Drosophila melanogaster: one gene and its partner. The protein of the gene in region 1 interacts with the protein of each later gene in a pairwise test. Each region holds a gene or a part of one and is shown on either strand. Other genes may lie near its edges. The genes, in order: dnd and PrBP.

The links.
Region 2: the proteins of dnd (region 1) and PrBP interact in a two-hybrid assay, tested with the Drosophila melanogaster proteins (one large-scale study listed by BioGRID).

What each region holds. Positions count from the first base shown.
Region 1 is NT_033777.3:21,884,865-21,889,166, forward strand, and holds dnd (dead end), read right to left. Parts: upstream 2,492-4,302; 5' UTR 2,279-2,491; coding exon 2,276-2,278; exon of another isoform or gene 2,165-2,275; intron 1,553-2,164; coding exon 1,424-1,552; intron 1,361-1,423; coding exon 1,229-1,360; intron 1,171-1,228; coding exon 895-1,170; 3' UTR 812-894; downstream 1-811. Other genes in the region: CG17819 (uncharacterized protein), read right to left, coding at 39-275, 334-468, 531-671; CG6678 (uncharacterized protein), read left to right, coding at 2,643-2,727, 3,171-3,690, 3,839-3,914, 3,975-4,302.
Region 2 is NT_033779.5:8,684,323-8,687,804, reverse strand, and holds PrBP (Prenyl-binding protein), read left to right. Parts: upstream 1-1,849; 5' UTR 1,850-2,001; coding exon 2,002-2,457; 3' UTR 2,458-2,982; downstream 2,983-3,482. Other genes in the region: Hnf4 (hepatocyte nuclear factor 4), read left to right, coding at 1-27; Trs23 (TRAPP subunit 23), read right to left, coding at 771-1,255, 1,313-1,487; CG9289 (uncharacterized protein), read left to right, coding at 3,455-3,482.

The DNA of each region.
Region 1 (4,302 bases):
TAAATTATCAGATTTCGAATATAGAACACAACATATACCTGAACACCAGACCCTGTCCGCATGGAACATTCCTCAAAAGTCCAATCTCGACCAGTTAGGCGATATAGGCCCATCAAATCGATAACCGTGGACATGGACAGGGATCCCGAGGCGTCCTTCTTGTTGGACACGATCAGCAGCGGAGCATTATCCAGTTCCTGGTGCATCAAAACATCGCATAAAACACATCGCGCCTCGCTTAGCCGCAGTGCATCCGTGCTATCCAGTACAAAAATCTACGGTTCAGGGATTGTAGTCGAGTCTATATAAGTTCTATATAAGTTCTCCTCTCACCAAAACATTCACTTTCTTATAATACTTTGGCCAGATCTGGCGATTCTTCAGTTCTCCGTTAATATCCCACAACTGGACTCTGAAATTATTTATGGTGAAGCTCCATTCACTAACTTGATTGTTAGATTCCTTGGACTGCAAATAGTTTATGCTAACATTATCAAATGGAGATAGGACCATCACATATATGGCCTTACTTCTCCATTGAAAATTTCCGCCAGGCGGTCTGTCAACGTGGATTTTCCCGCATTGTCTAATCCTAAAATGAGCAGACATGATTTCTGAGAGCCTGCGGGCAGGATCTTTTTTATGAACGAAACAGGTCCGTAAAAACACATGGGGATCGAAATTTGATTTCAGTTTAGATGTCAGGTAAAAATGAATGATTTAACTAGCATAGCCTTCTCAACTATATATTCAGTTTATACTTAAAGATACACGTGAAAAAAGGAAGATTCATCCAACAATTAGAGATTGTGATACTTTTGGTGAGTTGAAATGTAGGTACGTATATTTAGTTCTTAGGGACAACTTAACAGGCGACGATTACTATAATTTAGATTACTTCTTCATATTCTTGCAGACCCAGTCCATTCCCTCCTTTAGTCCAGTGCCATCCACAGCGGTACAGGCCTTGATCTCCCAGGTTCGTCCCTGCAGTTGCACCAAGCTCATCTTCTCGGCCACCTCGGCGGCACTCATGGCATCCGGCATATCCTGTTTGTTAGCGAAAATCAGCACGGGAACTTGCTTCAACCGATTGTCCATGAGCATTTCGAATAGTTCACTACCCGCCTCGGGCAGGCGAGTCCGATCTGTACAGTCAATTACATAGATCTGAAATAATCGAAACTATTAGCTAACAGAATTGAGTTTAGATCTATAACAATCCTACCAGCACATCAGTATTCGCAAAATAGTTCTTCCAATATGGACGTATCTTCCATTGACCACCAATATCCCATACATTCAGTTTGAAACCATCGGCTGCCACGGACTTGATGTTAAATCCTGCCGTGGGCGTTACCTGCGGGATTTCACTCCGTATTTTATGGGGAAAACGGAAGAAGTTCGCCGCCTTTATACGCACCGTGGTTATGTCCTCCGATGCCAGCTGCTTCAGTATCGTGGTCTTGCCAGCATTATCCAATCCTAGGAGCAGGATGCGAGCCTCCTTTTCCGGATTGGGTCTCAGTTTACGCAACAGCGATAGCAGACCCTAAAATTTGTAAGCTATTAAGTTGTTGTTTTTTCTACTTAGTTTTTTGAAGGTGTGTTATTCTAGCACCTGATTACCAGTATTAGTCTAGACTCGGTAGTATCCTCTGGTCTATCTTTGAAATTTTGAATAACAATCTACATTTGGTAGTTTATAAACTTGTAAAATTGTTAATAAATATATGTGTTTTTATAAATGCAACATATGCTTGTAAACACACATGTTTTGTTATTATCAATGTTGTTATCAATAAAGACGATGTAAAGTTGTAAAAAAAAAACTTGCAATTAAAACGTTCTCTTAGTGATAGAATGCAAAAAGCTTATCAACAGGTGAACTTTACAAACATATTGTTGGAATTGAGATAAGGGCTCGCCAAAAGAAACGACAACAAGGTTGAATGAAATAAAAATGTTTATTGGTAAAAAAATTTGCCATGTTCACTTAAAAATTAAGAACTCTTTTTTCCATTGTGTGCTACAAAAAGCTTATTATGTTTCTTTGTTTTCCGAACCACCAATTTGGTTTTTTTTTTCGAATACCGATAATTACGCGCCTAAAACTTTCGAAGTAGTGCTGAAAAAAGTTCTGCTCTAACAAAAAAGTGTTGTATAGTTTTTGAGGCGGGTTTCCATGGCGACGATCGCAAAATGAAAACAAATCGTGCAATTACGGAACAACAAGGCACTTAATTAGCTGTTACGGAACCGGGAGACAACCTACCATCGTATAATTAACGCGAGAATAACAGCCAGGAGGCGGTGCGATCTCCGACCACTATATCCGTATCTGTATCCCCCCGATTCGGCAATCTGCTCTGGCCGCCCAAGACGGTGTCTTCTGGTGGTCAACTCAGGAAAAGTCGGATAACTTGAGAATTGGATCAACTTCAACCACCAAACACAACATCACTGGCTCGTCGCTGCACAACTACTGAAAACAAAATTCGCTCAACGCTCTAACAAATTCCGACAGCAACAACAACAGCGCCAACGGTCGCCGAGCAACCGCTGCAAAGGATTGTTAGACGGGGGACGTGGTGGGGGTGCGGGTCGAGCGGTATTCGAATTGGAACGGGAACGGGAAGAAGATGCCGCTGCTATTTACGGGCTTCAACGCATTTGGCCAGCATGAATGTGTAAGCGGCGACGTCGACTGCGCAGCCGGCTTCAGCGGTTTGTAACCGGCAACAAAAGCCGCCGATCACTTAGTTGCTACAGTAGGCACTCGCTATAGAACTCGCTGGGATGCATGCAGCTTATACCATTTTTACAATTCTAATTCTATCTTATAAAACTGAATCCGATTTAAGCCAGATGAATTTTTAAGATTTCATGTTTAAAATAGAGTATAGTGATTTTCAGGTGAATATATACGTAGGACATTAATCCATAAAATTCTTTGCATATTCATATTCATGCATTGGATATAGACTGCATTTTAATTGACAGTTATAGGGTAAATTACACATCGGTACTTGGTGCCAACTGCATTTTTTGATTGGCCAAATACATACATAGCAATGAAATTGATAAACTAATAACTTAGACAAAATCTTTTTAGGGGGCTTCCACCGTATGTATGTATGTGTACTAATTCAGTTCTGCCTTTATTACAGAATTAAATGCGCCAGTCTCGACTCAGAACCAGTGCACGATTTCGATCGGCTGGCGGTATGCGGCCCTCGCTTTTGGCCGGAAGTTGTGCCTGCGTGGGCTCTTGGATGATGGCCCAAATGAGTGCGTGACCCTGGAAGCAACGGGGAACATAAGGGCCCTTGCCGCTGCCGATTCCCACTGCCTGGTGCTACTCCAAAGCGGTCAGCTTTACAGGGTGCAACCAAAACTGCAAGCGGAACTGGTGGCTGTTAGACTAGAAGCTGCTCCCAGATCCAATTCGGGTACAAAGCGCTCTATCTTTGGGGCTGCCAAGGCGCCTTCGTCGCCGATCATAGAGCATATTGCATGTGGATCGCACATAAACGTAGCGATAAGTTCGGAAAACTGTGTCTACAGCATTCCCAGCTGCCTGCATCAGTTTTCCGAGCGCCAATTTCGGGTGAAGCAGCTCCAATGCGGCCATGAACATGCCGTGCTCCTCAATGCCAATGGCGACGTGTTCACCTGGGGAAATGGACTGTAAGTAAAGGTCATAATGAATGCGTTGGCTGTGCAGAAATGCAGCCTATAAATATTTACATATTCTGGTTTTAAGATATTTAGATATTAGCGAGTTTCTTATTCTAATTCCTAACAATTTTTTTCACTTCTATGTCATAATTAACAGACGCGGACAGTTGGGTCTGGCGGAACTGAGAGTGGAGGAGACGCCTCAATTGCTGGAGGCGCTGGCGGGGATCAAGGTATATATATATTTGACTTGTCCACTTATCTTGTCTGTCACACATTCAAGTGCCTTGCAGATAACTCAAATTGCTGCCGGTGGTTGGCACAGTGCGGCCATATCCGCCTTTGGAGACCTCTACACCTGGGGCCTCAACTGCAGCGGTCAGCTGGGATTGCGTGTGATGAAACCCGGTGGCGTCCTCAAAGAGCCCACTGTATTTCCGCTGCCCCAGTTGCAAGATCTGCCCGAATGTGCCTGCTCCCAAAGCGGGGAGAGCAACGATGATTGCGCACCGCTGAGGGTGTTTGCTGGATCTCGTCACACTCTGCTGATCCGCCGATGCGGGCGGCTATGGGTCAGTGGTTGGTGCAAGCACGGTCAACTTGGCAGGCAGCTCCAAGACC
Region 2 (3,482 bases), on another chromosome or scaffold:
AAACAGGAGCCAGAGACTGGTTACTAGAAGAATAACGAACGGTGCAATATGCAGTTTGCAATAGGACACCCCTTAAGCACACAACCCATACACATACAGGCCCTCTCTTGCTGTACTCCCCACCAAGTGCTATATAGAGATGAAATTGAAATGAAGAACTTACTTAATTGTTATGCCTTGAACCATTTTGATACTTTTTATTAGTCCTAAGTAGGTATTTTGGAAATTGTTGCTTAATTTTTAATGTTTAACGCAGTTGCAATATATTTTTGGAGTCATATTTTGCTCAAGAAGTTTATTATATACAATTATACTATATATATACACCATTTAGCATGTACTGAGTTTGTTGGTTATTTGGTTATCTTATACTTGTGCGTGGATCACAAAACATTCATATAAGGCCATGCAATATATTGTTTTAGGTTAGGGTGTTGTCTAGATTATGCTGAAAGTGTAATATATATTTAATTTTAAACAAAGAACTATTTTTATATGAATATGTATAATATACAAACTATTTCTAAGATGGCTGAATGAATAAACAAAATCAAAATAAACACTGGAGAATATGAATGTAAATCGTTTACTGCGGCATTTTTACTAGTAATAAATATTACTATAATTTATAATTTATGCCATCTCTTTCAGCAACAACTTTAAATATCCAAACTGATAAAGCGATATATGTTCCTATGCTCCCACTTAGAACGTAACCCTGATCCTGCATAGAAAAAATTCAATAACGTATTACAAAGACTAACTAACGTTTATTTATCGATATTGCTAATGCCCGTCTTCTCGACCTGGGCGAGGAGCTCTTGGAGCTTGTTGTCGAAGAGCTCGCATCGAATGGGCATCTCCAGGGAGTAGAAGGGGTTCTTGAGCACGTAGTCTGAGTACAGCTCGTAAACCTTTCGCAGCAGCAGATCAATGCCATTGAGACCCGTTTCCGAGATTATAATGAACTTGATTCCGGTCAGCGTTTGGAAGCAGTGCAGCGTGAAAGTGTCCGCCTCTAGGATCTCGATGCCGGAACTCTTGGGCTCCGGACTCAGTTGGCTGGCGATGGCGAACAGCGGGTAGAACATGCTGGCCAGAAAGATTTTCTCGTTGGTGGTCATCTTTGGCCGGCTGAACTTCAGGTTAATGGGATAGTTCTCCGGTGCATCCAGTGTCGTCCTCACATCGCGTCCATCATCCAGGGTGACTCCATTGACGGGCATACCGTTGACCGCCACCAGGACATGGCCCACTGTTCGTAAGCATATATTAAGGTGGTTATGTTTCTAAAATTCACAGACACACCCACCATTTATTCCATCCTTTCTGTTGAACGAGACCGATACCTTCTTGGAATCGTAGTCCAGCACCAAGTCCAGAGGGTATGTAAAGGTCTTCTCGTGCTCAATGCGTGGCACATTGTTGTCCAGGTTGAATATAAGGCCACCCGATTTACTAACTATATAGACGCCATATATAATCATTTCTTACTATTACTAATTCTAAGTTTCCTAGGAATGTTTTTATATTTTATGCGAATTAGCGATGGTAGTGCCAGCCAGCTGTTTGCCGCGGAACCAGTTCCAGTTCCGGCTTAGTTGCCATTAACAGTACATTAACATTGCGCCTTAACAGTTGGGTCCATCGAAGAAATTATAATTATTAGGATAAATAAACCATTAAATTATTATAAGAAGCATTATTTAAAATTTAGGAATAAAATGGGAAGTAAACTCTTTAGCCAGAATACTAAGAATACTTAAAAAATATTTACAAGTTCAACCAAAAATCTAGTTCTACCAGGGCGGAGTAGCTCTTTAAACTGATTCCATCTTGCCTATCGCGTTCATTTAACTAGTTCACGGCCGAACAGCTGTCTCGGCATTAGAATTAAAAATAAACATAATTGATTTTCTGCCCGAAAGTATACGTAAACGCGTAGGCGCTCCCACCTGGCAGTGCACCCGATTGACCGACTTGCAACCTCCACGGCCACCGATGGGCTCCGACGACCAGAGTGCCGGGGACAGGATCCAGAAGGGATTCCAGATCAACTATATGATTCTGCGGGATGCCGACAGCGGAAAAATAATCTGGCAGGAGAACAAGGACTTCTCGGCACCGGACCAGGAGCATGAGGCCCGAGTGCCGGTGAAAATACTCGACATGCGTGCCGTTTCCCGGGAGATCAACTTCAGCACCATCGAGTCGATGGAGAACTTTCGCCTGGACCAGAAGGTGCTCTTCAAGGGCCGCATCATGGAGGAGTGGTTCTTTGAGATGGGATTCGTGGGTGCCAACACCACCAACACCTGGCAGTCGACAATCGAGGCGGCACCCGAATCCCAGATGATGCCTGCCAAGGTCTTGAACGGCAATGTGACTATCCAAACCAGTTTCTACGACAACGAGACACTCATCACCAAATCGGTTGTGCGCCTGTACTACATTTAGGCAAATGTGAGTCACCTGCCGTTCTGCTGATCGACCAGGTGTTCTCGCGTCCACCCACAAGTTTTTTTGGTTGTTCTTCAAGATGTTCTCTACAAAACATGCATACTTCGCTTTTGAGTACTTCAGCATTTCAATGCAATTGTTTGCGCGTTTATGAACTAGTTGTAGTCCAATGCATTTTAATCTAATCTAATTTTACGTTTACCACAGTAATATATTAATAAAAAATTAACAAATGTAATTTGCATAAACCAAGGAGTCTGTCAACTCGAATTCGAACGCAACATGCATGCTTATGTACAAATCTTTTGTAGACTGTCACATATGGACTAAAAATAGCTGCCGAACATTGTGTCATTTGAGATAAATTGTATCTATAGATCTCTGTACCAGTTGTAACCAATCCATAAAGTCTACTTAAGTCTGTTGAAGCTGTATGAGGAGTAATTCACTCATACAATCGAAAACGTTGTATTAGATATAGCCTAGCTGTACGCAATTTGTCAGCAAATATAAACAGATGTTAAAAGAAAGTTGTTATATGAACCATTTTAGGATACAGATGTCTGGCCCAAAGGAGATTAGCATAATGCAATATCTCATCGTGTGGAGATACTCAGTGAATCTTGCTCAGTGGGAGAAAATGCCCTAGGGGTCAATCGTAGAACAGGTTGCGCCTGGCTCTATTTTACTTTCATGTCAACGAGCATAATCCCATTTAGATCGCGGGCTTGCCTTTCGGCAATACATTGCCAAAGTTTGAATTTAGATTAGGTGTCGATGAATATTCAGCGATTGGAATCGCGAAAAGTAACCATGAAGTTAAGAGGAAGATTGGAGCGGAGAGTGCTAACTTGACCCCATTTTATTCGAAATAGAACCCGTGCCCGGTCAAGTGTCACTCGAAGATGGCGAGAAAGTCTTCTTGGCGGGCAAAGATCTCGGATAGCTTACAGTTCGCTTCCATCTACCCACAGCAGCGGATCGAAATAATATAATGGCGCGGTTTAGTGGAGTTGTACTGC